4 linked regions of the Coturnix japonica genome follow. The protein of the gene in region 1 interacts with the protein of each later gene in a biochemical or structural test. Links are inferred from orthologs where the notes say so. Each region holds a gene or a part of one and is shown on either strand. Other genes may lie near its edges. The genes, in order: MBP, PRKCZ, CDK9 and TLK1.

The links.
Region 2: of the proteins of MBP (region 1) and PRKCZ, one has a biochemical effect on the other in vitro, tested with the Homo sapiens proteins (2 studies listed by BioGRID). The link is inferred for Coturnix japonica from reciprocal best matches to the Homo sapiens genes MBP and PRKCZ.
Region 3: of the proteins of MBP (region 1) and CDK9, one has a biochemical effect on the other in vitro, tested with the Homo sapiens proteins (2 studies listed by BioGRID). The link is inferred for Coturnix japonica from reciprocal best matches to the Homo sapiens genes MBP and CDK9.
Region 4: the proteins of MBP (region 1) and TLK1 form a complex in vitro, tested with the Homo sapiens proteins (2 studies listed by BioGRID, with this or other methods). The link is inferred for Coturnix japonica from reciprocal best matches to the Homo sapiens genes MBP and TLK1.

The regions. Positions count from the first base shown.
Region 1 is NC_029517.1:81,546,590-81,551,749, forward strand, and holds part of MBP (myelin basic protein), read left to right. Parts: intron 1-1,208; coding exon 1,209-1,313; intron 1,314-1,907; coding exon 1,908-1,943; intron 1,944-2,491; coding exon 2,492-2,524; intron 2,525-3,476; coding exon 3,477-3,599; intron 3,600-4,941; coding exon 4,942-4,998; 3' UTR 4,999-5,160. UniProt on the Homo sapiens protein: The classic group of MBP isoforms (isoform 4-isoform 14) are with PLP the most abundant protein components of the myelin membrane in the CNS. They have a role in both its formation and stabilization.
Region 2 is NC_029536.1:1,531,404-1,536,796, forward strand, and holds part of PRKCZ (protein kinase C zeta type), read right to left. Parts: intron 5,172-5,393; coding exon 5,084-5,171; intron 4,553-5,083; coding exon 4,433-4,552; intron 3,940-4,432; coding exon 3,860-3,939; intron 3,338-3,859; coding exon 3,248-3,337; intron 1-3,247. UniProt on the Homo sapiens protein: Calcium- and diacylglycerol-independent serine/threonine-protein kinase that functions in phosphatidylinositol 3-kinase (PI3K) pathway and mitogen-activated protein (MAP) kinase cascade, and is involved in NF-kappa-B activation, mitogenic signaling, cell proliferation, cell polarity, inflammatory response and maintenance of long-term potentiation (LTP).
Region 3 is NC_029532.1:3,651,730-3,657,747, forward strand, and holds the start of CDK9 (cyclin-dependent kinase 9), read right to left. Parts: upstream 3,382-6,018; 5' UTR 3,339-3,381; coding exon 3,247-3,338; intron 2,942-3,246; coding exon 2,860-2,941; intron 2,438-2,859; coding exon 2,347-2,437; intron 493-2,346; coding exon 326-492; intron 162-325; coding exon 1-161. Other genes in the region: SH2D3C (SH2 domain-containing protein 3C), read left to right, coding at 4,181-4,220, 5,979-6,018. UniProt on the Homo sapiens protein: Protein kinase involved in the regulation of transcription.
Region 4 is NC_029522.1:16,161,661-16,167,631, forward strand, and holds the start of TLK1 (serine/threonine-protein kinase tousled-like 1), read left to right. Parts: upstream 1-2,233; 5' UTR 2,234-2,345; coding exon 2,346-2,487; intron 2,488-2,791; exon of another isoform or gene 2,792-2,872; coding exon of another isoform or gene 2,873-2,906; intron 2,907-5,971. UniProt on the Homo sapiens protein: Rapidly and transiently inhibited by phosphorylation following the generation of DNA double-stranded breaks during S-phase. This is cell cycle checkpoint and ATM-pathway dependent and appears to regulate processes involved in chromatin assembly.

The sequences.
Region 1 (5,160 bases):
GTTTGCAGTCAACTACATGGTAACATTTTTCAATGAGCTAAATTATTAGTGCCTAATAATGGACCAGGATGCTAAAATAAACTCAGACTCCACTACTCCACCACACTCATAAAACCGAATTATTCCCACCTTTTTGTGCCTGGTGGCAACCCGTCGACCACTGCAGAACAGCAAAATACATCTGCTCACAATGTATTCCGTTGGGCTTCATGTAGATTGACAGCAAGCTGTTGGTAAGACATTGTGATCTGCAACACTGCTGAAGAAATGTAACATAACACAGATCAGGGTGTTTGTGATAAACACAGATCTGTTCTCTTTAGATATAGACTTAAAAGGCAACATGGAGGTGGTAACTTGTTCTGATCACGTTGATGCCTTACTGGCACTCCTCATTGCAACACTGCTCACAAGCCAGGAGTCCCACCGCAACAACGTGACCAAGTCCTTCTGTAGCAAGCTGATCTTCTATGTGACAAAAATTAATTGTATTCTAAGTAACTGCTCATACTGTTCCAGAGTCACACATTCATTCTGTTTGGAAGAGCTTATTTTCTCTCAACACAGATCTCTATTTCTGTTTAGGGGCCAATGAGATCTGTATCACCCACGTGGCACTTACAAGAGATGCCACTGTTATTTTCATTCTCTCCTGCCTTCCCTGTTGCGCACAGCTGGGATCCATTGTGCTGAGAGTGAAGCATTATACCTTGACACTGGCAATGATGGACAGACGTTTGTCATTTGGGTCAACTCACAGGGACCGATTAGCTTTTTAAACTTAGTCCTGCTGCATCCATTGAGAAATAGATACAACCCATTCCCGCTCTCCCATGGAGGATGATCCAGCTTAAGTTTTCTCAGGTTTTATCTCTAAAATTACATCCTGTGTTCCAACTTTGAAGGAAGTAAAATTGTAAAGTTTCTGGATTCTAATTGTCCCAGGTTCAGTCCCACGCTGGGCTGTAACGTTACAAACACAAGCACCATTATATAAATACACATGCACAACATATGTATGCGTTTGGTACAATAGCGCATTGGCCATTGTATAAAAAATTGTTCCTTTGCAGCACTGATAACTTTCAGACTCACTCCCCACAGATTTCCAAGGCACTCCCCTCTCCTTTCCCTCACACAAAGGGAGCCTTTCCCAACAGCTGCTGTTCTCCTTCCTCCCTGCTGACCGGACTCTGCTGTTGTTGCAGGATATACATGCAGCCAGGGCCAGCCATGTAGGCTCCATCCCCCAGAGGTCTCAGCACGGCCGGCCTGGTGATGACAACCCTGTAGTCCACTTCTTCAAGAACATTGTAAGTTCCACTTCTCATTCTTCTCCACATTCTTATCATTCCTTCAGATCCACCTATAATCAAATATCCCACAGTCATTACCCTTTACTAATGAATTCTTCTACACCTTTGAGCTCATCATGCAATTCAATGTAATTTCACCTGGAAACAAGAACAGTGCCGAAATGTTACACCCAAGTGGGTGAACCCTCAATTAGCACAGTCACGTTTCAAGAGCAGTTGTTGTAATTATGCAGCTTCACCATTTACAAGGTTTATGCTGCTGTCTTTGGCAACCAGCGTCTTTCTTTAGAAAGAGATTTAAAAATGTTCACATGACAGCAAAGAGAAGAACAAAATTAACAACTAATACATAAGGACTAATAACTCCTGGAGACATTCAGAGTTTCCTGGAGACACTCAAGGTCAGGCTGGATGGGGCTCTGAGAAGCTGTTGGAGCTGTAGGCATTCCTGCTTCTTGCAGGGGAGTTGGACTAAGTGACCCTAGAGGGTCTCTTCCAACTCAAAGCATTCTATGATTCCCTGAATTTACTTGATAATTATCTCAATTTATTGTTGCTTTGGCTTTATAATTTTTTTTTGTTGGTTTTTAGGTCTCACCCCGTACTCCTCCTCCAATGCAAGCAAAGGTAAGAGCAGTCCAGGGCTCAGGCAGTGCCCATGGGTCTTCGGGGTCATTTATACCACTTCAACCACCAGTCCATTTGTTATCTTTAATCATGATAAATATAAATCAGGAGTTGCCTTTAGGAATATCCCAAGCCAGGGATTAAGACAAAAAAGCCATGGCTCCTCTCCTTGTGCATTTCCTGATTTGTTGCATGACACCTAGATTAAAGCCAAATGTTGAGGTCCTTATATATTAGTTTTTTTGTTGTGGGTGTTTCATACATTATACTAATAATAGGTACAACTGTCAGCCAAGCCTCAACCTCCAGGAACTGTTCTCATGTTGATAAGCTGACATGGTTCCCACAGCCCATGATTGATGAACCACGGCAAGTGATGGAAGCTCTTGTGATTCTGACTGAGAACTTTGCCTTTTTCATTTTATGGAATGACTGATGCTTCATTATCTGGCCAGTTTCTCGTTGTTTTTCACTGCATTCTCAACAACTTCTGATCCAATGTTCTGTAGTGACCGTTGTGTTATTGTTTCTGTTTCTTCCACGTGCAGGGAAGAGGACTGTCCCTCACCAGATTTAGCTGGGTAGGTGATGAATGTGCTTTCGGAAACAGCCATTTTTTTTACTAGGCCAAAGCATACCTTGCTCCACTGCCTCAAGCTGCTGCAGCAACACAATAATTTTGTTTCATCTCGGTTTTGCTATTTTGCTTTTCCTGTTCTACTTTCCTCCCTCCTCCCACAGCACTTTAAGATGGTAATCGAGACGCACGCTCTTATCCAGCACACTGACAGCCTCGCAACAAATATTTCTTCTGCTTCAGCATGAAGGGAACAAAATCCTCTGCATGACAAAGCTGACTTCCTTTAAACGTCCTGGGAGACTCACTGCTGCGGGTTTCTTCTCCTGGGAAAGACAAGGATGGGAGGGCAGGTGGTGTCCAGGCAGGGATCTGTCCCCATTAAGCCCTACAGAACTAACACCACCACTAATTCAAGTATTTGGTCTCACCTTTCCTCACCACCTCTTCCAGTGTGAAGAGATCAGCCCAAGTTAGGCAAGTTCCTCCTTTAGTTATCACAGCTGATTAAATCCTACTTCTCTGCCGCAGGTTTGGTTCTGTAACAAGAAGAACGCATACATGTTAAGCTAAAAAAAAAATATTACAGCCTTCAAGCTGTTATACGTTTCTTTCACTGCCAACAGAACACCAATTTACTTCATGCATAATCACCTCAGAACTTGTAAATTGAATTTGTTTTTTTTATTTAAGTTTTGTCATGCAGGTTAACGCTCTGAGCATCCGCTTTTGATTATTAGTTCTTCTTTTACAGATTGCTTCCCTCAGGCACCAGCACACCAAGAAAACCACCTAATGCTTGCCTTTACCCTGGCTTTTTACTTAAAAGACTATTTTATTGCAACTTCCTCTAAGATTCTCCATGTTTCAGCGATGACAAAGAAAGATTACCACGTGAACATGAAATTAATGTCAATATGCTGATCTGAAATGTACACCAAACTCTTTCTATGCAGGGTGGTGAAGGACACAAGCCGGGATACGGAAGTGGAAAATTCTATGAGCACAAATCTGCTCACAAGGGACATAAGGGATCCTATCACGAGGGCCAGGGCACTCTTTCCAAAATCTTTAAACTGGTAAAGTACAATTCAAGTTAATGTAAGTTCAAACAGCTGAGCCCAGAGAAAAGCTGAGTGCAGCCCAACCTCTCTAGGAGATGCCATGTTTGGAACAACCACGTTTCCACAAAGCTTTGGAAGGAAGTAGGCATTCTCAAAGATGTTGGTCTTATAAAATCACCTGATAAATAGATAAACCATTTGACAAGAAGTTAGGCTTCAGGTAAATGGTTTCTTTAGTTTGCTTATGACAAAAAAGAAAACAAAAACAAGGCAACTGAAAATGCAGAATACTTCAGTTTTATGCTTGGAATCTTTAGAAATAGAAGAGAAACACTTCAATTATCCTGAAACGTACGCTTACAAATCATTCCCTATTCAAGTATTTCAGAAGAGCTCCAGTCCACTGCTTGCTTTAAGAATCAAAACAACTAATAGTTGAGCCTGGCTCTCACCTATGTAAATCTCCAAAAGAAAGTTTCACACTGTATCAGTCTCTGCCTGGTGCAAGTCCAGAGCATTTCAGCAGAACATAGCCCAGGCTTCTTTAACCTTCTAATCAAGGCTGAGAGCTACATTCTTTTTAGATGCACAAGAAAACATGGCACTTGTATAAGGAAGGCCTCAAAAAGAACAAGCATGTACAACTAACTCACAGAATTGTAGAATGACAAGGTTGGGAAGGACCTACAAGATCATCTAGTCCATTACAGCTGATACCACAAACCACTAAACCATATCTCAGAGCTCCTCATCCAGACACCTCTTGAACACTGCCAGGGACAGTGACTGCACCACCTCCCTGGGCAGCCATTCCAGTGCCTGACCACTCTCTGAGAAAAAATATTCTTCCTTACATCTAGTCTAAACCTCCTCTGGTACAACTTGCAACCATTTCCTCAGGTTCTGTTTGTTGCCTGGGAGAAGAGGCCAAGTCCCTCCTCATCACAACCTCCCTTTAGGAAGGGATGAGGTCTCCCCTGAGTCTCCTCTTCTTCATGCTAAACAATCCCAGCTCCCTCAGCTGCTCCTCTTAAGACTTGTGCTCCAGACCCCTCACAAGTTTAGTTGCCCTTCTCTGGACACGTTCCAGGGCTTCTATGTCTTTCTTGTAGTGAGGAGCCCAAAACTGAACACAATACATGCCTAGCTACATATGAGAATTTAATGAGAATGAATTAATTCTATGTGAAAGTATATAAGAAGCAATTGGTTCATGTTAAAATTCAAATAAGAACTTAATTATAATGAATACCAGAGTCATTTTCATTAGATATTTAAGGTTTTGTATTGGACTGATACATGTAGCCCTATGCACACAGTACCTTATTGCTAATTAACTCCATTCTTCCTTCCCCAGGGTGGCTCTGGCTCCCGGCCTGGATCGCGGTCTGGCTCACCAGTTGCGAGGCGCTGAAGCTCTACGATGCCATTCAAGGACCATGCACTCTGCTTCATAATCTAACTGCCTTAAAATTAATAACAACTGCAAGAATTACCTAGTTAGATGCAGTCCATTACTTAGTGCCAATTAGGGTCTGCATGCAGTAGATGATACAAACTTCTATTGGCAATCCCT
Region 2 (5,393 bases), on another chromosome or scaffold:
ACCACAGAAGTTAGTGCTTAAAAACTGTGGTTAAAAGGCAGTATGTTACAGGTAACTTCCTAACCACCAACTGAGCTAAACATCTACATGCTCTGCGTTATTACTCATGCTACAGGGCATAAAAGTGACCAATATACGAATTAGAAGGAAGTGATTTATCTATACGAGAAACATTGTAGGCTATGAGCAGTTGGAACCAATTTTACCTTCCTCTGAAGCTTCTGGTAATGGCTTTGATAGAGACAGGCTACCAGACTTGATCATTATTCTGATCTGCTATGGCCTACGTGGGACATACACTTCATACACTTTGGGTTAAGCCTTGCTGGCCACTGGAGGTCACCGTTCCTCTAGAGAAATATCAGATACAAAATCAACATTCAAAGCTCCCCTTGGAACAGAACCAACGACACTGACGGAAAATCGAAAAGCACAGTTTGTTTTCATGCAACATCCTCAGTGACAACAGCATTAAATGACAAAGCATTAAGATGGTTTTAATATATACTTCTGCATGAAGGCTGAACAACTAAACTTGGTTTTCATAGCAAAAAAATACTCTGATACACTCAGCTTTCTGCCTGGCTCCAGCTTCCTCACACATCTGGATGGATGGTTGAAACACACCAAGGGAAGGGAAACATCCTTGTTTCCTACAACAAGACTTGCAGGTTCTCTTACAGGTCTCGTACAATCTTAAGTGGTTGTATTTAATATTAAACAGCATTCTATGATTCTATCAATTGAAAATGGATACAAAAATTGAAGGTATTTGGATGTTTTGAAGCAATACTAACAACAAAAAGCCACTGATAGGAATAGAATTACACCCAGAACAGAAATATGTTCCTATTTTTGTAACCTTTTCCATTACAATTAACATAAGCAGCCTACAAATTCAATGATACTAAATGCCATTTGAGAAAAATGTCAAAATACTTAAGTATAACTTATTACACGTTACACAGTGAACACCAATATAGTTAATGCTCCACATCTAAAAATAGAGATCCAAAAATAATCCAGCCATCTAAGCTTTCTGTTCTAACTTGGTACAGTGTACTCAAGACTGGAAAAACTCCTACACAGATGCAGAATGCTGCATTACAGGAAACAGACAGGACAGTGTATTCACTTCTCTTCCTGAGGAACAGTATTAGAGTGCAATTAGAGACTAACCTGTTCTACGTAATGCTCCTGGCACACCAATCAAATGAAACTACCTCAACTACAAGTGCAATTCAGATTCACATCTCTAGAGACTCTGAACTCTTGACAAGAAATCTACAGCTAACAGGTAAAACTCACAATTAACAACTATTAACAAACAAGGATGGTAAAACTATTGGCTGTATTCAGTAGGAAGGGAAACACAGCAGATGAAATGCAACACCTGAACAGAATAAATGACTCAAAGTAGCCCTTGACCTTCAAGTCAGCAACAGAGACTAAATTAGTTCTATTTTTCAGTAGCACCAATCCCAATACTATCATCCTAAAATTCATATAAAGTACACAAAACAACAAAGCCAGCCAACCTGCCATCACCATCATCTAACAAAACAACAGAAATGAGGAGCTGAAACTACCATCCAAAACATAACCATTATTGCTTCTGCACACAGCCAGCAGTAGCCATGGCTCTGTAGCACAAATGTAATGGATAAATACTGTAAAAATAAGTACTTTGTGCTGAAACAATTAGAAAGGTTATATCGGTGTTTCCCTGAATGCTATTAAACCATCCTGCATCCAGAGCACACACAACTCAGACAACCAAGACTGAAAGCAACACTTACAGTGGCTTTACATTTTATCCTAAATACATTTCCCAGTACTAAAGTGCAGCTTAGCTTTTTTTCCTGACATCTTATGTCCTCCTGAGCAGCACTGCCCTCATTATCTTGCAAAATCATACAGAAATCCACCCCAATTTATTAGTGTTTTTAATTAGATATTTAATACCGAGGCTTTCAACCAAGAAGTAGGTAGAAAATCAAAATTCAAGTAAACTCAGCATATATGATGATCAATAACAGTCCCAATTAAGAAGCATTTATACAAATAAAGACAACAAATCTAGAAGCCTTGTGTACCTCTCAGAAACACTCTGCAAAACAGAAACCCTGCAGTGCGTGATGTTTATATTCTAACACAAACTCCAGTCAAGTTGCATTATAGCTACCACTGGGTAGCCAACATAATGGAACACAGCACGTAGGTAAAAGGAGAACAGAAAACGAGTCACGTCTGTGACAGAAGTAGACGTCCTTGTAATTGCGGTACAAATCGCTTTGTGAACGGCAGGTATTTTAAAACACTGGCTCCTAATGGACTGAATGTCTTCTCTGAATGTCTGAACAGCAGGTCTGAGAGTAACTGTCATCATACGGTTCCTTCTGAACCTCCTTCACATTATTACTGACATTGCTGACTGCCTGTTTCTATATTTTGTGGAGACCTCCCAGGACTATGAAAACACCACACGCATTTATTCTCAATATTCTCAAGGTTCAACTGAAGTATTAAAAACGTAACGCTGGAAAGGAAGAGTTCCCAACTGCTTTTTGGCTGTGTCCATAAATGCAACAATGCAGTTCCTATGGTGACTTTCTGTGAAGCAGAGACAGTCACCAAGTATCAGAACCTTTTATAAGGCTAGCTGTAATAAATATTTATGCATCCAGACCTACAGACATGCAAGTTGTCTCTCCATCCTAAGCAAACATTTCCATCATAACACCAAGTGTAGAGAAAAATAGAAGAAATCAAAGAATCACTTCAAATAGCTACAAAACCCTTAAGCCACTTTTTTCAAGAAAGAGACGCAATCCTATTCTGCCATAAATGTTATTTCACTGTTACCTACCTGAATAATCCCACTGATTTTTAGAAGTACAGAATTTGATTTTTTTTCTTTAAATAACATAGTACAAATAGACCAGAAATGCTTTGGGCACGTGAAGCATCTCACCTCCCATGGCTGCAGATTAACTGGTTCCATGGCAATTTACCTGCTCTTGTTCACTCAGTTACCTACCAGCCTTCTCTCTCTTTGAGGTAGAAATGTTTCTAATCAGGGAAATTAAGCACTGCTTGCTAATATATGCTTCCCTTATCTGTTAGAGCAGTGAAATGACCTCCAGAGGAGTCCAACTGCAGGCACCATGCATCTACGCTGGGTAAATTAACAGGAAACTAACAAGTTGTTTCTTTTAAATGCACAAACAGAAGTAATTATTTTTACCAGATCCCAGTCTATGCTGCGGAAAAACGTGTGAGACTTGATATCAGAAAATCCCGTTTGTGGCTGACAACCAAGCCTTTCCTTGGGATCCTGCAAAAAACACAAACACTCTGTTACACACTGAGTCAGTTACAGCCCATTTTTGTCAGAACCCCATCTATATCACCAGCATTCTCCACTAGTACAACAACTGCTGTTAAGATGCTCATACCATGGCTACCAAAGTGTTTACATTCTCTTTTGGAGTTCATATAAAAGCTCTATTTAACAAAGTATTTTACATCCCTCCCCCCCTCCCGTTTGAATGATGATAAGTCTATGGATTTCAATGAACATTAAGCATTACAGATAAGAGTTTATAAGTGTCTATAATAACTTCTAACTACAGGCAGGCTTCTGAAACAAGTCTGATGTGGGAACACGGGAGCTCTTCAGAGCAACAAGTTGTGTGGTGGTGGTTTGGTTGGTCTTTTTTTATTTAAATCATACAGGATGCCAAGGTTTTATAGATTTTCTTTATAGTAAGCAGATTAACTTCTTAACTGTATTCCTTTCAACAGGAAGCCCTGACTTCCAGATAGTAGATGCTAAAAATAAGAGAATGTTATTTACCTTGTTTAAAAATCCTTTTAACACATGGGAGGCCTTGACAGAAAGAAACCTTGGAATCCGGATTGGCTTCTCAAGAATAACTGTTAGAGGTTTAAAAACAGTAATATTGTTGTTGGTTTTCTTTTGTTATTTTATGACATCGACCATTATTTTAATACAAACATTACATTGTTACACTTTGGAAAATGGGAACACATGGTAATTTCTGAAAATAATGCAAAAGGAGTTACAGTAATACAAATACTGCACCAAAACTTCAAGATTTCAGAAGTAAATGTTAGCTACGTGAACCTGTCATTTATAGCATAAATAGGGAATAGTCAGATTTCTATCTGTTTTTTGACATGCTTTTATCATCTGTAGAAAGGTTCCTAATTCCAGGCTATTTCATCACAGTTCAATAAAATAAATACCTAGGATGAAACCTTAAAAATACTTCATATATTATAGACCTGCTAGCAACTGTGAGATAATACAAGGAAAGGAAAAGAGAAGGTAATTCTAAGTATCCTACTGCAATTCTTAATTTTCATCATTCCTCCCCCCAAGAGAAATCATAGAAAAAAACAATACCTTGGAAGAGGTAATCTTCAGTGTTCATGTCTGGATTGTCAGTAATGATATCAAATGGAGACCTTCCTGCCATCATTTCAAACATCAATACACCAAGAGCCCACCAGTCCACGCTGAACCCTGTCAATATTTACACAGCAGATTTTCAGCTGCTCCTCAAATGTCAGAGTTCTCATCATGTGAGGATTAATGCCCTGGTCCTACACAATCAGTATTGCTGGATAGAACTTGACAGGAATTTGGGCCACATAGGAAACCTGTACAGATTCTGTAGGTACCCATACACAACCCAACCTACTGATCAGATCAGTTTATAACCACAACACTAATTAAGATTACAGTTCTGACTTCTGCATAAACAATGAACTTAGTCACAGCATTCCATAACCTTGCCTGGGGAACAATAGCAGTTGGGATGTCAAGTACATCAAGGGTTGGGGCTTGATTTTGATACAGCAACACTGCATTGCTCAGGGAAAGTAGGATTTAAAACTAGCCAAAATGAATGACTTCTAAAATCAAAAGGCTGGGTTTGTTTTACATATAGGTGGAAAAAAAAGAAATTCAGTAACAACAGTATTTGAACAAAGCTACAACTCTAACTTGGTTTTGCGCTCAGTTATAACATCAATCTGTTCAGTCTCAGCTTACCATATTCTTCTCCTCTTAGGATTTCTGGTGCAATGTAATTCGGTGTTCCACAGAAAGTGCTCGTAGTGTCACCAGGGCCCAATCCTTCCTACATACATAAAACAGTTTAAAACATTTTAGTAGTTTACTTCTACTTTTGAGATAGAAAACTGAACAGAAGAAACAAACTCAGTCAAGGTCAATTTCTTTCCTGCAAAGCGATCAGCATAAGAAACACGAAGGATGAAGTTACAAATCTGGTCCTATGCTTCAGTTAATTTGCAGCATTAAGTTGCTATTCCACAACCAAATTCTGGGCTCAATAACACTG
Region 3 (6,018 bases), on another chromosome or scaffold:
TCTGGAGGCCGGTACCACAGAGTCACGACCCGGTTGGTGTAGCGGTTCGGCTGGCTGTTCTTAGCCAGGCTGAAAGCTCGAGCCAGCCCAAAGTCTGCAAGCTTCAGAACTCCATCCCGCGTGATCAGAACGTTTGCAGCTTTCATGTCTCGATGTAAGATCTGTACGAGGACAGACACTGAAAAGTTACACCTCTGAGGTATCACCTCCTTGGGCACCCAGGTGCCAGCAGGGCGCTCAGACTCAGGAGATGAAGGACAAAGCAGAACTTCCCTCCAACCTGTACTACGACACCTCAGCCCACAGCACAGATCTGGCCCATTACCTTGTTCCTATGGATGTAATAAAGTCCATTCAATAGCATCTGCATAACTTTCTTGATCTCTGAGAGCGTGAACTTGACGTGGGTGTTGCTGAGAAGTCCAGCCAGGTCGTGCTCACAGAAGTCAAACACCAGGTAGATACTGCCCTTGCAGCGGTTGTATGGAGAGGCTACAGGAGAGGCAAAGAGGAACAGTCAGCAAGGGATTTAGTTCCTCCTGACCTCCATCCATCCTCACTCACTAGGTGAAACCTCACGGCAGAGGAACATCAAAACAGGGACTCCAGATGCCTCAAGAGCCTTCAAAAAGAGGTATTAAAACAGCAAAACAAGCAACAGTGGATGAGGATCAGAGTGGTAGTGAACATCATGAGAAAGGCAAAGCAAGAGCAAAAAAGTCTTTGAAAGCTTCATTTGTGTGTTGTGCTGCGTGTATTAACAGCTGTGGGGTTTTGTGCCTACAAACTGCAGCCCGTGGGTGCACACACACAGCTGACAGCCGAGCACAATCATTGCATCAGCATTAGAGGAGGAACAGGCAAAGACAGACTCACAGGAATACAGCAAATATTTCTAAAGCAACATCAGAAAGTGAAGTTTACTGCAACCTCAAATGGTGTCTATGAGAACAGACTGATGCAGATCAATATGATTTAAAACCCCAACTTCAATTGCAATTTATGGTCAATGACAGGAAACCTCAAATGAAGCAATCAATTTCAATCTTGCTCCTAGAGCACACGTGCAAAACACCAAAACAAAAGGCTGATTTTGATCAGCTGTGCACAGCAAAACCTGCTGATCAGCAGCAAGAACCAGAAAATGTGGGCTAAGCTCAGCCTGCACAGTAAATGCAGCCTGGAGGATGCTTTCTAGATTGCACATGACAGTGGTGCCGTCCTCACAACCCCTCTTCCAACATAAAAAGAGAAAAGCTTAAAGTCTGAGAACAGTCAATGAAATGTTTCTGTTTTTCACTTGAATCTGAGGTCAAGGTAGAAAAGTAGAATTTAAACAAGACCCAAACAATCTGACACAGCTACAAAAATATTGACCTGAGACGTGCCAGCAGCATGCAGTCATCACAGCTGGTTTAATCAATCCAAGAATTAAACATTAACTCAGTGTTTTTCCTCCTACCTACTGGTTCAAAAACCGACAGTTACCTACATTCTATGGAGCAACACCAAGTTCCCAGACCTAGGCCTGAGATTCCTACCAGTTGAGTGTAAAAAACAGCAGCAGAAAGGTGCTATTATCAATTGTATTTAACCAAAAAGAACTGACTACAGCATGGCAGGCTTTAATATCATCTGTCGCTTTCCAAACCTCTTTTGCAGTACAAATCCATATAAGAGAAGGATATATAAAAATGAGGAAATGCTTTAAAATGATTTCCCTGGAAACTGAGCCTGGCCAGGTGCATTAAGCACATCAGTCACACAGCAGAGACGTGCTGCCTCCCCCAGGGACTGCCTGCAGCGATGAGATGGAACAGCAGCTCAGCACAGAGCAACTGAATTGCTCACTGTGAAGTGGCAGCACTTCCAATCCAGCCCTCAAAGCCTGGGGGGTTCTGTCATGCACAGGAGAGGCTGAGCAAGTCTCCAGCTGGAGCTGTCACCAGCACAAAGCTCCACGAGCTGCAGAAACACGGCTCCTGCTCCCAATGGCATCAGCATCATAAAGCTGCAAAACCACCACCAGGCAGAAAACGTTCTGTTTCACATTCTCTCCTGCTGCAGGTTCATTTAAAGCCATTCAGCCAGCACACAGACAGCAGTCACTGAGACAGCACAGGCATGTGCCAGCAGCACTGACAACAGCTTTTTCCAGCCAAGCTGCAGCACAGTAGCACTCATTCAAAATGAGTTTCCACAGATGAGCGTGTGGTCACCCCAGATTAAACACATGCTCAGCTGGAGGATCCACCCCCAGTGCAACACAGCAGCCTGCTGAGCCAAGAACAAAGGCTGAAAACAGACACCCCCTCAGCACAGCACAAATGAGACCCCGGCAGCTACCTTTGGTCCTACAGATTTCTATGAGGTTCACCACATTCTCATGCTTCAGCAGCTGGAGGATTTTAATCTCTCGCAGAGCTGTGATGGGGAACTGGAAAGGAGAAGACACAGGTTAGGAGTGCAGCTCACATCTGCTTATAGAACAGGAGAGATTGGACTGCTGCAGCACAGGACACCTGCTTGAGTAGCACTGCAACAGCTCATTTAAGAGTAATTGAAACTACAAAACATTACAGGGGCGACAAAACTCATTGGCCACCCTTAGGATTCTGCCACAAGGTGGAGGTGTTTGTGTGACATGGACACCTGCCCTCCTTTCCCATCTATGAGCACAGCACATGGCAAAGCCCCAATTGACCCACAGCACAACCACCCCACCCCCATGTGCTGTGTGCTGTTACTCAAGACCTGGCACGTTACAGCAGTAAACACCATTAAAGTTAATACACACTGATGTTCCATAGCCCACCCCCCACCCCATCCCCTCCATAGCACAGCACAGCTCACACCTACCCCCTCCTTCTCGTTCTCCATCAGCACCTTCTTCAGCGCCACCTTTTTCCCCGTCTGCCGGTGTTTGGCTTTGAACACCTCCCTGTAACAACAAGAAGAGACCCATGTAACAACAAGGACCCATATAACAACACGGAGAGACCCACGTAACAACAAGGACCCACGTAACAACAACAAGGACCCATATAACAACACGGAGAGACCCATGTAACAACAACAAGGCCCCATGAGCCCCATAAGGAGGAGGCCGAGGCCCGCAGCCCCCACAGCACAAAGGCCCCGGGTCAGGCCGCGGCCTGTTCCCCATGACGCTGAATAACAGCAGATAATCGGCCCCATAGGAGCCATGCCCGGGCTGGGAGCAGAGCCGAGGCCCGCAGCGCTCACCCGAACGTGCCCTGCCCGATCTTGGCGAGCTTCTCGTACTTGGACACCTCATCGCAGAACGGGCACTCCACCATGTCGTACTGCTTGGCCATGCCGGCCGACGGCTTCACTTCCGCCCTCTCGCCTTACGCTATTTCCGGCGCGCCGGCGCGCTGCCTGCTGGGATTTGTAGTCCACCTTAGGCCGCCATGTTGTCACCCCGGATAAACCCGTATCACCCTGCGGCTTTATGGCTGTCTATAGCTGTGTGCCCGCGTTCCCTCCCTCACAGTGTCACCCACATAGGAAGGGCCGTGGCCATACAGGGACACTCCATAGGACAAGGCCCTGGGGCTGCCCACCAGCTCTGGGCCACTGCATCCCCCATAGAAATGACCCCACAGACAACACAGCTCCACCAGCACATGGTGCAGTGGGGCCTTGGGGCTCCACCATGGAGCTGAGCCCCATATGGGGACCTCCAGCCATGGAGCTGCCAGCCTGCCCCATGCCGGCACCCAGCCATTCAAGGGCGGCCCTAAAGCACATTAATCCCATTAATGGCACCTGAGCAGCCAGGAGGGGACTGTAGGGACAACAAGGGATGGGACTGCAAGGATCACAAGGGATGGGAGCACAGGGACAGCAAGGGATGGGACTGCAGGGACAATATGGGATGGGAGTGCAGGGATCACAAGGGATGGGAGTGCAGGGACAACAGGGGATGGGACTGAAGGGACAATAAGGGATGGGAGCACAGGGACAATAAGGGATGGGACCGCAGGGGATAGCGGGGACAGCAGCTGCCATAAGAGCAGATGGCAGCAGCGAGGAGGAAGCGCTGAGTGATTGAGAGAGCAAAGCGAGAGGCGGAGGGGGGACAGGAAGGGAGGAGCAGGCAGGGACAGGCTTCAAGTTTATAAACTTGTCCCTGCAGCCTCCACCCAGCACAGCCATGGCTGAGGGCCAGAAACGAGGGGGCTTCAAGAAATTCAGTAAGTCGTATCGGGATGGAGGGGGTGGGTGCTGGGTGCTCACCTGGGCTGGCGTGGGTGGGAAGGGGGTGTGTGAGTGTGAGCGTGGTCACCTCTCATTAGCAAGAAGTCTTCAGTTTTGTTAGGAAACTGGGGGCTCTGGGGGCTTCCATCCCCACAGCTGGAGCAAACCCTGGTGCTGATGGCTCTGGTGCTGGGGTTGGACTGGGAGCAGTCTGCTTGCACTGGTTGCCAGCATGTGACAGGGGTGAACCATTGCTCTGATCCCCCAAATCACAGCTTTCAGGGAGCATTTACCCCTCTGCATGGCTGGGGCTGGTGGTGTCCAGGAGCCCTCTGTGTGCTCCTGCAGCAGAGGGATGGGGTGGATGCTGGGGATAAATCTGCACTGATGGAGCCGCGCTCGGGACCGAAGCGGTGGGAGCTGAGCACAGAGGAAGTGCTGCTGCCCACCAGGAGGGAGCTGAGCTCTTTCTCACAGCCCTCGGGTTTTCCCCAAAGCCCTCGGAGGAGGCTCCATGGGGCTGCACGCCGCCAGCGCTGCACTGAGCAGGACATTGCCTTCACTGCTGCTCCCCGCATTCCTCTGCCTCCATCATGCTGATGCCGGCGCCGGAGGGAGGCCGACCCCTGAGCTCCCCCGGGAGCTGAGCAAAACCCATCTCCCACGGCCCCGGCCAAGCTGGGATTTTCCATTGTGGTGGAATGCGGGGGAAATGGGGAAGGCCCCCAGCTTTCCCACCCTGCAGCAGCCTCAGATGCAGAGGATGCTCGGATGCAGAGGGGATGTTTAACCTGAAGCAGTTTTGTCATTAACAGAGTCCAGGTCATGAGGTTTTGGCTATGCAGGAGTGCTTCTGGGTTTCTGCAGCCCCATTTGGCAGCAGGGGCACCCTGCAGACTGTGCAGGACATGGGCCCTCAGCACCCAGGCTCCTAGCAAGGTACTGCTGCAGCATTCAGCTTCCTGCCCCAGCAAATCTGGAGGGGAAGAGGCTTTGCACAGAGCCCTGCTGTGTAAGCATTGCAAAACCCCGGGGGCACTCAGAGCACCAGGCCTCCAGCTGAGCAGTGCTGCTGTGCCCCATGTGCTGACACTGGGGTAGCACCACGGCAGCACACAGTGCCAAGGTGTGAAACACAGAGCTTCCCATCAGGGTTATAAATACTCCTGCAGTGAACAATTCGAGCTCAGCACTTGCAGGTGGCTACAGGGAGCTGCAAGGAGGTTGCGAGGGGCTGAGCTGAGGAAGTGGGGAGGCAGGAGGCTGCCCACAGCCAGCACTGCTGCACGAACAGCACGGGGCCCAGCTGATGGCCAGTTCCTGCTCTGTGCCTGACAACGTGTACACGAGGCACAACCACAGCACCCCACACCATGGGGAAATGCAGCGTGTCCCAGCTCTCAACATGGAGAGGGCCCTTCCTGGATCGTCTCCAGGAGAGCAGGAGGCAAGAGCAGGAGGAAGAGATTTGGAGTCATTTCTGGCCTTCTCCATCCCCTTCTCACTGAGGCTGAGAGGCTCCATCCCTACAGCTGCAGTAGGGAAACAACCACTGTCTTACCCAGGGCAGCACAGGATGTTTGTCCTGGATCTGGCACAGACACCAGCAGCACTGCGTATGCCCCAGCCCATGGGGGCACCATAGTGGGTGAGACCAGCAATGTACAGCGCAGCTGGGCTGGCACCAGGCTGTCCAGTGGTGTGGTGCCTGTGCCCAGTTCTGATCCCCTTCCTCTCTCCTTTCTCCTTGTCAGAGTTTTTCAAGTTCAAAGGCTTTGAAAGCCTGAGCAACAT
Region 4 (5,971 bases), on another chromosome or scaffold:
TCTCACATTTCTGTTGTTTCAGATTTTTGTTGCTCAGCTTTTTTTATCTTTGGAATAATGACATTTCAGAATGTTTTCCTGTTCTTCAGGAGTCCTTGATTTGAGGGTTGCTGCTGTGATAAACCTTTGCTAGCTAACATTTGACTTACTTTCATGGGAGAAATAGCACATAAGCATTTCACTCCCTTCTGTTCTGATCTGAATTTCAGGGTCCTTTCTTAGCATGTAGTGAAATCCAATGAGCTTTCTGAGGACTAGGTGGGAATCAAGCCTTCCCTTCTATGCAGATAAGCAGCACCATCTCTGTTTCTATCCAGTGCAATCCCGCTGAGTGGGTGTTTCCCCATTTCTCCCACCTTGAGTCACATCTGATGTCAATAGGTGCTGTGTACCCAGCAAACAGTGAGAGCAGACTATTCCACTCCTGAAAACTTGAAGGCAAAGAAAACTATCTAATATACAAATATTTTTAACAAAACATAAAATAATGAGTAATAATTATTTGGTACTGTTTGGGCTAGATTTCATTTTTAACATTTGGGGTGCGTGGCACAGAGCTCACTGCTATGAGGGGTCACCCATTTGCCCACCAGGTGACGTTTGATTGCAGCTATCGCCAGTGACTGAAGAGCATTGTGCACATTTACAGTGCTACAGAATGAGTCTTCTAGCATGTCTCTGGATAATTCTAAAAGGTACGCACCTAAGCCATTCTGTGATTCTATGATTGAAATGGTAGCACCAAAGCAATGCGGTTTACAAGGACGCCTTAAAGTCAGTACTAGCTCTGGCACATTAAGAAAGGTTTTCGATGGAAACCTAAGTAACGAATGGCATCTTCCTTCTCATTCACTATTCCAGTGAATAGTGCAGGAAGGATGCGTTTCTGTAGGTTTTTCTAAAGGTTGCGGGGCTCTGGTTTGTCTGAAGTGGATACGTGTGGGCCAACAAGTTTCTGAACATGCTGCTTCTCCCTGGGGGGCACCAACCCTCATCAGTTCACCAGCCATTGTCCCTCAGGCTACAAGGTACAGTTCTGCTCTGTGGGCATGGCTCGGTTTTAACCTTGCAGGAAGTTAAGAAGCTGTAGCAGCCCCCCAGTATCAATACTGCACAGCCTCACTTCATGTCAAAGTACTACTCAACTCCTGTCCTAAGTTGCTTAGTAAAGCCTGAATAGTCTTTTCTGTGATAAGTCCTTAAAGGCAAGGAGGTCCTGGTTAGAGAACATTTCTCCATGCCAAACACGTGGAGAGTTCTGAGCCAGATTTACTTAGGAAGTAAACCAACTGATTTTTTACTTCAGGTTAATGCCTTATTGCTAAGATGCTTGCAGTGATGCTGTATTCTTGTGGGCGGTGAGGATCTCAGAAAATTTGACGTGTCACTTGGAGAGAAAGGAGGAATCGGCGAAAGCTGCTTCATGAACAGTCTGCCACCAACCTGAGCCAGAGGGGAGGGCAGTGAACGCGGGGCCAGGGGTCTTCTCTGCGTACGGGAGTGCCATGCCCAGCACGTGGGGATCCTCATTCCCGCATGTAAGCCACGGCTCTTCCAAGCGAACGAAACCATTAAGTTACGCTCGTAACCGGGAAGGCTTTGTTTCAGACCTGACTTTTCCCCGTCTCTCCCGTTCTCGGCAGAGACCGCGCTGGCGGTAGGGAAAAGAAGAGCAGCCGGGCTTTGGACGCGGCCATGCCGCTCTCCGGCCCGAGGGCGCGCAGGCGGAGGAGGCGCCCGGCACATGGCACAGGGCTCGGCCCTGCCGCGGCTCGCCGCTCCCCCGGCACCGTGTCCGGCCCGGGGCCCGCGGCGCGCTCCCCCCGAGCGCATTGCACGCAGGGCTCGGCCGCGGCTCCGCGAGCGGCGCGGGGCGTGGGTAGGGGGCCGGCCGGGGCAGGTGCGTGCGCGGGGGCCGCCGCTCCCGCCCGCCGCCCCTGGGCGGCTCCGGTTCGGAGCTGCTGGGCTCGGCTGGGCGCCGGCGGAGCGCGGCGCTCGCTCTGCTCGCGATCGTGTTTGCGCATGACCCCTCCCCGCCTGCGCCCTCCCCTCCCCGGCGGCGGCGGCGGCGGTGGGGAAGGTTAGCCTCAGCCTCAGCCTCAGACACGGGCGGCTGCTCGGCGGCGGCCGCGGCGACGCAGTGCAGAGGTGCGGGCGGGTGGCGCCGGCCCCGCGCCCCGTCCCTCCCGCGCCCCGCCTGCCTCCGGAGCCCTCCGCCCGCCGGCGGCCTCCCCGCGCCGGTGTCGGGCCGGCCCCCCGGCCATGAGCGCGGCGTTGGGTGTCCCCCCGCCGCGCCGCCTCCCCCGCCGCCCCCGGCGGCTGCCAGGCTCCAGGAAAGTAGCTTGATGAGTGTCCAAAGTAGCAGTGGAAGTTTGGAGGGGCCGCCATCTTGGTCCCGGCTCTCCACGTCCCCACCGAGCCTGCAGGGCTGCTCCGCGGCGGCCTCCCAGCTGCACGGCGCGCCGCCCGGCAAGCCGCCCAAGGAAGGTAACCGGCGCGCCGCGGGGCTTCGTGGGGGGGGGCCGGCCGTCGGGGAGGGGCCCGGCTGCCGCCGCCGGAGGCCGGTCCCGGGCTGGCGGGGAGCGGTGGCGGACAGGCGGGTGCCCCTCGCGGCGGCGGCGGCGGCTCGGGGTCAGCGCCGGGCCCGGCGGAGCCCAGCGGAGCCTCCGGCGCCGGGCGAGGGGCTCGGCCCCGCCGCTCCTCGCGCCCCCCTCCCGCCGGGCCGCGGCGCTCCGCTCCGGCCGTCCTTCCGGCTCGCGTCTGCTCTCGGCGGGGGCCGCTGCCCGCGTCCTCCCCGGGGAGCGGTGCCCTCCTCCGGCGGCGGAGTAACGGCGGTGCGCGGAGTGCGGGAGGACGCGGCCGTTGTTTCTGGATGGAAGGAGTCGGGCACTTTTGGCATCGTGGAGGTGGGGCGGGGACGGAGCGGAACCGCGGGGCTCGTCCCTATCGCGAAGGCGCCCGGGGAGCGGTCGGCCCCGCGGCGGCGGTGACAGGGCGCCTCACGGCCACCGCCGCGCTATGACTGCAACTTTCTGCTTTCCTCCATCACGCCTCGGATGATAATATTTTCCTCCTCCCTCCTCTGCTCCTCCCCTCTTGTGTTACACCGACAGGCAGAGCGGGGTGTTGTGGGTGTTTGCGGGGAATAGCTGTATGAAGGTTATGAGCAAACAAGTCCCTTCTCTGTTCCGTTCGGGTTATTGTCTGCTTTTCCTCCTTGCATTGAGATGCACCACCACAAGATGTAGCAGTTCTACAGCTGGAGAGCGGCTCGCGGCTTTCTGCTGGGAGAACTACTTGTGGCGGGGGAGAACTTTTGTGCCCGCACACCCGCGTGCTGAACAGTTGTGTAATTTCGCTCCATTTGCCCCACTTTGATCAATTCCACGTAGCTCGCCTTCCGATCTCTGCAAAATGTCGCTGGCCAGGCAGGAAACTTGAGAACTTGAAATAGAAATTAAAGCGAGAAGAGCGGTCTTTGTTTTTCAAGTCTTCCTGTGGCTTTTTTTTTTGTCGTTGTTGCCGTTGTTGATAAGCAGTTTGAGGGCTCGGTGCCGGGGATTCGCTCTCCCAAAAAGCAGGAGGTGCTTCTCCATTTTCTGTGCCAGCAGTTGTCAGACTTGTATCGCTCCCGTCACTCCGCACGCGCTCCGCCAGGCAGGCTAACACGAAATGCTCTAGAAAATACCTGGAGAGGGATTACGGTATATGTTAAAGATGCTGAGTAAAGTGGCAGGCATTTTGTGCTCCTGCGCTCCTGGAAGCCGACTGGCAGCACTACGGCCGCCCCCAGCTGAACGTGCAGCTGATTTTAACTTTATTAGGAGTAGGTTTCAGCAGTGTTGCAACACTTGTTATGGATGCGTGCATGTAATATTCATATTGAGTGCCTGCGTGGGATATTTTGGGATGTATTTCAGACACCGGGTGCACAAGCCTGAAATGATGGTTGCAGCACAACGTACAGATAACGTGTGTGTATATATATACACACACACACACACATATATATATATATGCACATGCATGTATATATATAAAATATATATATTTATTTGTTATTTAAAGAAAACTGGTTTAAGCCTGGCATCTAGGCATGGAAAAGCAGTTTTGTGATGTTAATTTTTAAGGCGGCAATGATGATGATGGTGTTTTTTACATCCCTTCTCACGACTCCTGCGGTTGGATTGTTCTAAGTGCCGTAATTTGCACTGTGCAGTTAAGGGGTTTCAGAGCAGTGAAAGCCCAGCTCTGTGCGTGGTGCTGTGATTGGCCTTGTGTGTGTAGTGTTCCCATGTTGTGATGGCTGCATGGCCTCGCCGGGCAGTTCTCTCTGGGAGCCAGTGTGAACTATTGGTGGTGTCCATGTCTGCTTTTGGCGTAAGCTGGCAGGATGGTAGCAGTGCACCTTGCTTCGTAAACGTGTATTTTGAAATGGTGCATCTTGTGTGAAAGCAGTAGGCCGCCAAACACTAATAGGCCGGTGTGCTCATAGGCATTGGCTTGTACATATGCAAGAACTATGTCAGATCAAACTTAACAAGTTCAAAATAACCCAAAACGTGTTTAAAGGAGCTTGTGCGCATGCTGGTTCTTGACTGGTGAGCCCAGGCAGTGCTGCCAGACATCACCTGTGTGCTGGCAGCAGTATGTGAGAGCGTGGGCCTGGGCAAGACTCGTACACTAGCACCAGCGCTGGGTGTCCAGGTGTGGGCCTGCTGTGCTTGTGCTGAACCTTTGGCCTGGGCACATTTATTATGAGACGCCGGACCCCTCTCTTCAACTCCTGCCATCACCAGGCTGGCTTTCCTGTCAGATGTGCAGGCCTTGCATGGTGTCTCACAGCGCAGCAGCTCACATAGCCTTACCCGCAACCTGCTGGGACAGCCTGGCAGCTGCCTGCAAGGTGCTCACCATGTGAAGATTCCCACCTTTGGGAACAGGAACCCCTGGTGCTCTGTTTTTGCAGGTCCAAAAAGTGCTCTCCAAAGCCTTAATGTGGAGAAACCAAATAACCAAAATCAACCAGTCAAGTGAATTAAAAAAAACAACCGATCAGCCTCTGACATACATAGTTGTCACTCAAAAGTTCTTTTGTTTTGCTTTTCAAATGTTAGGTTTAATAGTCTTGAAATGGGACTGCTTGGGAAATACAGGGTGAAGTTAAAGAAAATATTTTCTTTTTTTGGAATGTGTTACAGGGTTGTAGCAGTGCCTCATGAGTGTTGGCTTCTCCCACCTCTTGACTTGCAGAGGCATCATTGCCCAGCTGAATAGATGTGAACTTGTGTTTTAGGGCTTTGAAGTGAAAACATTGGCAGGGACTTAAGTAAAATTGTATCTGTACACTTCTCTTGTATCAGAACTGTTTGGTGTTTCCAACTCCATGTAGTATCAAGCATTCCTTCTATCCCTTGTTTTATGCAGTAACTGATCTGTATTTGGTCAGTCATTCAAGAACCATGCGACTTAGGCTATGAGGAATTTAGGAAGACTGTTAAGTAGTGCTACTGTAAACACTGTTTACTGAATCTTGTGCCATAGCTCATGTAACTGCAGTCATGCAGCTTTGTGTTTGAAGTTTCTTTGCTGTTCATGTGTGGCACTGAAGAGATCACATTGCACAGCTGCAGGGTGCTGGTTTAGAAATGGGAGACAACCAGGCTATCGCAGACAGAACAGGGAGGTTTTGGGACACGTATGCGAGTACCTTGAAATATTTCCTCCTCTGAGGTTGGAGTCAGGTTGTCAGTGTCTGGCAGTGTGGCATGGTGCTTTGCAGGCTGATGTTTTCTTTGCTGAGTACAAAGCAGAGTGCTAAATACACTGAATCTGAATCAACAAATCAGGGATGGGAAGGTTCACATCTAGAATGTGATCTCAAGTTAAAGGTGATAAAAATGTGGTAAATAAATCCATGACATGTTTCTAATGCCGTTTGAAGAACAATGTAGCAAACTTTGTTTTTTTT